2 linked regions of the Danio rerio genome follow. The protein of the gene in region 1 purifies or fractionates together with the protein of each later gene. This does not show direct contact. Links are inferred from orthologs where the notes say so. Each region holds a gene or a part of one and is shown on either strand. Other genes may lie near its edges. The genes, in order: hdac5 and prkd1.

Region 1 (3,726 bases):
CACCACGTTGTTTAAAAAGAAAATCAATTTGCGCCAATTTGTGGACTCATTGTTGTGCTGGTCGATACAGGTGGTGTATTAAGGCACATCGTTGACGCGTTGCTAATTTGAGGAATTGAAATAGGCTGCGTCAATGACCAACTAAAAGCTGGTCTAAAGTCTAGCGCAGAGCGCATTAGTAATGCACCTATGTGGGTTCAAACACTTACACATTGCTTATGCCATGCCTTCTTCATGCCTCCATGCCTTGTTCAGTTTATTAATGACAATTTGCATTTAATGTTATTATTGTTAGCAGTATTATTAATTATATGCATATTCATATTTGCTTTAATTAAAATAAGTTTAGATTCGTCCATCTGTTGGGTTTTGGAGATGTATGCATCAACATATGGGGCATAAGAACAGGACGTGTGTTTGGACATAAATAGTAAGGTTTTTGACCACACTTGGTTATTATTGTTCATTTATTTGTTTGCTGGAAAGTTTAGAAATAGTTTTGAAACAAATCTTTGCACTTAACAAAACTATATAAAATATGTAGGCTAATGGATGTCTTCAGTGGAGTGAGTTTCCACCATTTCCTTATCTATGTAAAGAGAATGGAAGAGGCTCATTCTTTATCCTCTTGCTGCAGATGGTCTGTTTAACTGTTTTCTTGCTAGTGAAGTGTTCTGTTTTTCCACTTACAAAGTCCACCATTTAAATAGCAAATGCACCAGGAAGCGACGCAACTGACTCTTAAAGGGAATGTGAGATGATACTCTGATTGGTTTAATGCACGTTATGTCCAAAACACACCTATAACTCATTAAGAGAATAAGCACAACCCTGTTAGACTATGCACCAGGATGCAGAGCGTATTTTTTCATTCTTAAAAAGGCAAAAGAGGATTCGACACACCCTAAATGCTTTTGCGCAATGCGCTTTAGACTAGATGGTTAAAATAGAGCCCTAGATGTATTTGTATAGTGAGTTTTATAGTAATAATTGTTCCGAAGCAGTTTTACAAAAAATGCACATTACATTACAATGAAAAGCAGGAAAAGTTAAGGTGTTGTATATAGGGTGGACACTAAAGCTATCAAGTGTTTATACACTTACATGCATTTTTATATAATATAATATAATGAACTTTATGACAAAGCAATATCTATATACATAATACATTTTTAAAGAAATAATCTGATCACTACAATTTTTTAAACCCTTTGTTGTTATCACTAAGACTCCAAACCCTAACAGTTTTAAACCAAAAGTACCAGATGTCACGTATTATTGTGTGTGTGTGTGTGTGTGTGTTTGTGTTTGTGTGTGTGTGTGTGTGTGAATTAATGTCAGGCACCTCATCTCCCAAAAGTGCCTCCACGCAGGATTCAGATGCGTCACAGATGGCGGTGAGGTCGTGACCTCCTTCCAGTGCCAAAACCACACGACCACCAGCCAACTTCATCAATTGCTTAGTGAGATGACCAAAGCCTACGAAAAGAGACAGGAGCATGCTAGGTAATTCATGAACTAAAAACCACAGTGTAATGTAGGTTAGGAGTGAAAAAGACTAATCCAAGTACTATGAGTATGACATTTGGAGCAATGATCTAGAAAAATGCATAGCTTTCATGTGTGTAATACAATTAGGGGATACTAAAAACATTTCTGCAATCTGAGCTCTCGCGTTTACTCACATTTGGCAGTGACGTTGTATCCGCCCAGCGGTGACTGGTGGCCCTCCACAGCATCGAAACCAGCTGACACCAGCACCACATCCGGCGAAAACTCATTGGCAATGGGCATCACCACCGTTCTACAAGCACACACATTTTTCAAGAGTTTTAGTGTAGTTTCATGAAATGTTTTTACCTTAAATGTACCTTTCCATTAACCATTTAGATTCCATAAGAAATGAAACCAAAGCATTACAAAAAAAATTAATAAATAAATAAAAAATATTCATGAAGTAAAAAATGATTCTTTTCTATTTAAACTGACTTTTTTCTTAAGCTAATGACTGACTATTTACTTTATTTGCTAATATTGAGGTGACCAATTCATGTTTATACATTGGAAAACAAATGCTTGCTCTGGTAATCTTTAATTAAAATCAGAATATGTGCTAATGTTCTGGAAGGACACTCCTCCTCAAATCACATCAATTTGAAGTGTAAAATACCATTTTGTGAGATTTGTATAAAAACAAATAATTCTTGTGCATCCTTATGGACATTTTTTCAATTCATTTTTATGTTTATTTTGGGTGTTTTTTAATGAAAACAGTATACAATTTCCAAAAATATGTATAATATTACATATTTAATACTACATTTTGATTGTGTTTCCGACTGAAATAACAATATTTAATCCAAGCATTATTTAAGCGTAAAGCCATGCTTTCTTTGTTAGCAGGCATCCATTTTATACAATAGTTTGGCCTCGAGAGCAAATACACACTTCCCCCCCTGTTTTCTACTATTGAGCAATGAATAAATATGTAAACAAACTGTCATCTACTAAAATCTATTTCAGTGTAAAAGTAAAAAAAATCTTAATAATTTGATGTTTTAGGATGTTTTTGACAAGTCCTCTCTGGACCTATGTTTAACCTTTTTAAGCTGACAGGCAAGAGTTTCTGAAAGTGAGATTAAATCTAGCATCAGCTTTCTTATCTCTATTATTGACAGACAGACAGGAAGTGCAGATGTCACCTGAAGGCGGTTAGATACTCCACATCACCCATAGGTGGCTCCACTCCACCTGTCCAGGCAATGTTGACATTAAAGCCCTCTCCTGGACCCACACCCACCTGCAGAGCAAGCCATATTGAAAAACAATGGCAACTTTAGTCATACGCCACAAAATAATGTGATGGAAATGTTGTTACCTCCTCAGGAGCGCCACTGCCAGGGAAGAAGTTGCCATCGTCATAACGATGCAGAGAAATATATAACACATTGGGGTCATTATAGAAAGCCTGCTGGGTCCCGTTTCCATGATGGATATCCTATAAAAAGCAATGAGTAAAGTCTGATTTTGGTATTTGTGGTCCGGTAAACATGTCGATGACAATTAATCAAACTCAAAAACACATAAACTGCTAAAAAACACACCAAGACATTGTATAACATTACAAAATTCCCTGCTCCATGGATGGATCCAGAGGCCAGGCACATGATATTTGACCAAGTTGCAATGTTTGAATTATCCCAAATATGTTCAATTGGGTTATGTTCAGGACTCTGTGCAGACCAGACAAGTTCCTTCACACCCAAAACAATCATCTATGTCTTTAAGAGTGTTAATTTGTGCACTGGTGGGCAGTAATGTTAGATTAAAAAGGGTCATGATATTGTCCAAAATGTCTTGGTATGCTAAAGCATCAAGAGTTCCTTTTACTGGAACTAAGGACCAATCCCAACAACCTAACAAAATAACCCCACACAATCATCCCTTCACCAAATTTTACATTTGCTACAAAGCAGTCAGACAAGCACAATTCTACTTGCAACCACCAAACCTAGGGTTGTCCATCAGATTGCCAGGCAGAGATTCTGACTCCAGACTGCTCTAGAATCCAGTGGTGCCATGTTTACACCACTGCATCCTACGCTTTGCATTGCACTTGGTAAGGCTTGAATGCAGCTGCTCAGCCATGGAAACCCATTTAATGAAGATCTCTACACACTCTTCTTAAGCAAATATGAAGACTACCAAACTTTTAAGGACTGTAGC
Region 2 (4,384 bases), on another chromosome or scaffold:
GGCACAGGGGCTCAATGGTTAGCACTGTCACCTCACAGCAAGAAGGTCGCTGGTTCAACTCCTGGCTGGCCAGTTGGCAATTTTGTGTGGAGTTTGCATGTTCTGCCTGTGTTTGCGTGTTTTAGTTTCCCCGTGTTTGGGTTTCCTCTTGGTGCTCTCGTTTCCCCCACAGTCCAAAGACATGCGGTACAGGTGAATTGAGTAAACTAAAGCCATAGTGTATGAGGATGTGTGTGTGTGTGAGAGAATGAGTGTGTAAGGGGGTTTCCCAGTACTGGGTTGCAGCTGGAAAGGCATCCGCTGCATAAAACATATGCTGGAATAGTTGACGGTTCATTCTTCTGTGTTGGCCACTGATGAAGAATGGATTAAGCCAAAGGAAAATTAATGAATATAAATTTTTGTCATCGTTAGCTTGTCTTGTGTTACGACTCAAGCTTTTTGCGAATGTAGATATTTATGAATGGTTTAAACTACAGTTGCAGATGCACAGTCAACTTGCCATCAAATGTTTACATACTGGATTACATATAAAGACCAATTTAGTGGCCCATAGAAACGGCTAACAGCATACATATATTTCTGCATAATAAAAAGAGCCCATCCTCACAAGTTGATATGATGAATGATTGTACATATGTGAATGGGGGTTACTTTTATATCAAGCAACAGAACTGCCATTTTTTATAGAAATTATCGCTGGAAACTAACCTAGCTATATATATATGTATACCGTTTTTGTTTTATGTAACAAAAATAATAATAATAATAATAAAAAATATATATATTTATATATATATATATATATATATATATATATATATATATATATATATATATATATATATATATTTTATTATTATTATTTTTTCTTTTTTGTGTATGTATGTATGTGTATGTATATGTACACATATAAATACATACATTTTTTAATGTGTGTGTGTAGATAGATAGATAGATAGATAGATAGATAGATAGATAGATAGATAGATAGATAGATAGATAGATAGATAGATAGATAGATAGATAGATAGATAGATAGATAGATTCAGGTTTAAATCACAACTCGTAACATGACATTAGCCACACCTGTTACATAAAACAAAAACGATTATTCTAAAATCTTACATTGCTGTGTGAAGAATGATGCCCCATATGGTTTTGCGGAAGTATTTTGGCGGAAGCTACGGTTACCATGGCAATTATTGTCAGGCTACCGATTCCACTTCATAAGTCCGGTAAACGGGAAAAACACCAATTTTATCTATATTTCAAAGAGGGAAGAATGAATCCACAGCACATAAACTTTCAAATTCACATCCCCGATCGCCATTGCAGCATCATCTGAGCTGTGATGATGAAGGAGCCAGGAGGCGGTGTCTGATCAGAGCCCAACATTAAACATATCTGACGTCTATATCTCCATCATCATCATCATCCTCGCCTCTCAATGTCCAAATAACTCTTTGCATTTCCGTGCTATCGCTTTTTCCTCAAATTCACGTTTTTCGCTCGTTTACCCTCTGAACGTCTTTAGGGATCTGAAGTTTGCCTCAGTTTTGCGCAACCGGTGTGTGAACTCGTGTGTGAAACAGCCCGATCCGATCGCTGTCCACCAGGCGTAATTGTGTTGACAACAGGGGATTCATATGAGCGTACCTCCGGTAATCCGACCGCCGAGCCCCCTCCCGGGGTCGCAAGGCATTTCTTTCCAAATCCAGATCGGGTTGAGCCGGGAACCCGTCCTGCTGGACTCCGGCGAGTTCAGCCTGGCGCAAGTCCGAGAGATGGCATGCTCCATCGTGGACCAGAAGGTAACACTTTCCATAATCCTCATGTTTCATTCATTGTCGTTCACGTAAAAATGCCACAGATTTCATCACCCTGAACAAGAAGTGGCGGTCCGGAGTTTGGAAATAGCCCAACTTTTAGCCCACTTGTTACTTAAGCATTTATGGGAATTTGGAATTTCGTTCCAACCTCACATGATGTTAAGTTACGACGAACTTGAATGCTTTATTAAAATATTGCTTTTCATAGGCTATATCATCCGTTTATGTCTATAAATTTATGAGCCTATTATATTTAGTAATGTATAATTTAGGATTCTGCTACAGGTTCACAACTGAGCTGTAAACTTTCAAAAGGCAGAAAATTGCATTGAAATTGTTTTTAATTACTGATAGAACATTATTTACTTCATAACCTGAATCAGCTGAAACACACTGAATGTGTAGCGTCATTAAGTGTTCTGCATTGTATTTTCCATTGACAGTGATGACGTTTTGTAGCCTACTTATTGAGCCAGTGAGGGGCTTGTAGCCTACTGGAACACAGCATCACTGCACTGCAGGCCTGTCTCTTGTGCTGAAACCTTTCAAAATATTTAGTGGATTTTGTCCTCAAGTTGTTGCTTCCATGATATTTGGAAAATCTCATTATAGTAGATGTGTATGTTACAGTGTATATCAGGGCAAGTAAGGACTTTTTTTTGCCTCACCAGTATAATGTGGCATTGAACCAAAATTTTGGTTATTAATTAAACAGAATAATGTGAGAACTGTTTAATCAAACAGATTAAATTGATTGAATATACCAAGCTAAAGCATAATAACTGCTGCTAAGTGCTTTTCTGCTTTTCTAATAAAGCAATGTCAAATTTACACTAGAAGTTCATAAATATCAGTTATGAAATTGGCATTGAAAAGATCACCCAAAAATAATGTCAAAGGTGACATTCACCCTCAATATAACATTATTGATGATTTTTAGCTGGAATAGTCTTCTTTGATTCATAACATGCAAGTCATACTGACTGACTGTTTACACAGTTCACGCTCAGGACCATTTACAATGGCTGTGGATTGAAAGTAATTATGCTCAGTTTTTTAAACAGAAGCTATGGAGTTGTGTAGATTTGCTGTATATCTTTTCACTCTTGAAGTGCTGATTGGCTTGAAATTTATCAATAACCAAATTCACATCTTGGATAGTCTAAGGATGAGAATTAATAACAGATTTTCAATTCTGCTGGAACTATCCACCAAAAAGCAATTGATTTCTGCTGAGTGGTATAATAGGTGATCTAACAGAATGTTAACTTGAAATGGAGCTTGTAGAATAAATGCTGTGAAAATATGGTTTCTATATTACTACTAGAAATATAATGTATATAAGTTTCTACTTGAAATAAAGCGTTTCCCAAATCCATCATTCCGACGAACAATCGCAAACTGCATCGCAGACTTGTATGCTTGTAATTACACCTCTAGAGCTGATGTTATAAGCATAGTTCCTGGATGTGTTCTATTCCAAGTTATCCCCCCCATGCCCTATTCCTTTCGAACGTTCCATCATTCAAAGTTGGAATCATTAAAAAAAAAGCATTAATGTCATCTCTCTTAGGTGCAGTTTAGTTTCAAATATTTTTGCAGTTTAGTTTTAGCAATCTTTACATTGACAATTGCGTTCCCTTTTTAATGCACTTTGAAAACATTGATGCCACTTTGAACGCAGCCGAGGCTCATGATGAAAGCTATAGGTGACCTATTATTTAAAAACAGAACTTAGGTTTGGTCTCTGAAGCTTGTGGAAACAAAAATATATAGCAAACGTTAATGCTTTTAATTTATAATAGGTTATTTACTAAGAAATGTATCTGTACTGTATATGACATGGGTCTGTTGGTTAGAACATTTCTGCAGTGGTTTGAATGTGTCGTTGTAAAAGCAGACTTTACTATGCATCTTACTATAATAGTTCAGCCGCAAGTTATGTTGTGGTTTGGGAAACAAACCCCTGTTCATTAAAAAGTGGCTTATATTTGTTTTTCCTCACAAAAGTAACTATAGAAGACTTGAAATATAAGAGAAGGGAGCATAGGTAAATATAGTTTTACCTATCTTCAAAATTGGTCCTCTGACAGGACTGGGTGATTAATCGAAAAGCAATCAAATCCACATTCAGAACCTATAATCGTTCTAATTTTTCCAGGTCAATTGTTTACATTACTTTTCCTAGCTCTTTTTTTTGACTGTTCTTTTTAGGCAATGTGTGTTTAGATTTCAGTTGTTCAATGTTGATGTTCAATAAACAATCAGAGATAGTAGATAGTGTGCGTTTCTTTCAACTATTTTAAAATCAAGTATGCACCCTTCATTTTAATATAATATGTGAGCATATTTACAGTACATAACTTGTCAGTGAACTATAAGGGCAAAAAATAAAAAAACAAAATAATCATTCATTATTGTAATTGAGTTAAATTTGAGATTTAGATTTTAGGCCAAATCGCCTAGCTAGGCATGGGCAGGTATAAGATTCTAATGGTATGATAACCTTGGATATAATATCACGGTTTTACAGTATCTCAATATTGTAATTA

Evidence for each region.
Region 2: the proteins of hdac5 (region 1) and prkd1 purify together in Homo sapiens (affinity purification with western blotting; 4 studies listed by BioGRID, with this or other methods). This does not show direct contact. The link is inferred for Danio rerio from reciprocal best matches to the Homo sapiens genes HDAC5 and PRKD1.

What each region holds. Positions count from the first base shown.
Region 1 is NC_133178.1:21,717,249-21,720,974, reverse strand, and holds part of hdac5 (histone deacetylase 5), read right to left. Parts: intron 2,999-3,726; coding exon 2,879-2,998; intron 2,801-2,878; coding exon 2,703-2,800; intron 1,805-2,702; coding exon 1,686-1,804; intron 1,480-1,685; coding exon 1,346-1,479; intron 1-1,345. UniProt on the Homo sapiens protein: Responsible for the deacetylation of lysine residues on the N-terminal part of the core histones (H2A, H2B, H3 and H4).
Region 2 is NC_133192.1:30,382,900-30,387,283, forward strand, and holds the start of prkd1 (serine/threonine-protein kinase D1), read left to right. Parts: upstream 1-1,468; 5' UTR 1,469-1,649; coding exon 1,650-1,814; exon of another isoform or gene 1,815-1,892; intron 1,893-4,384.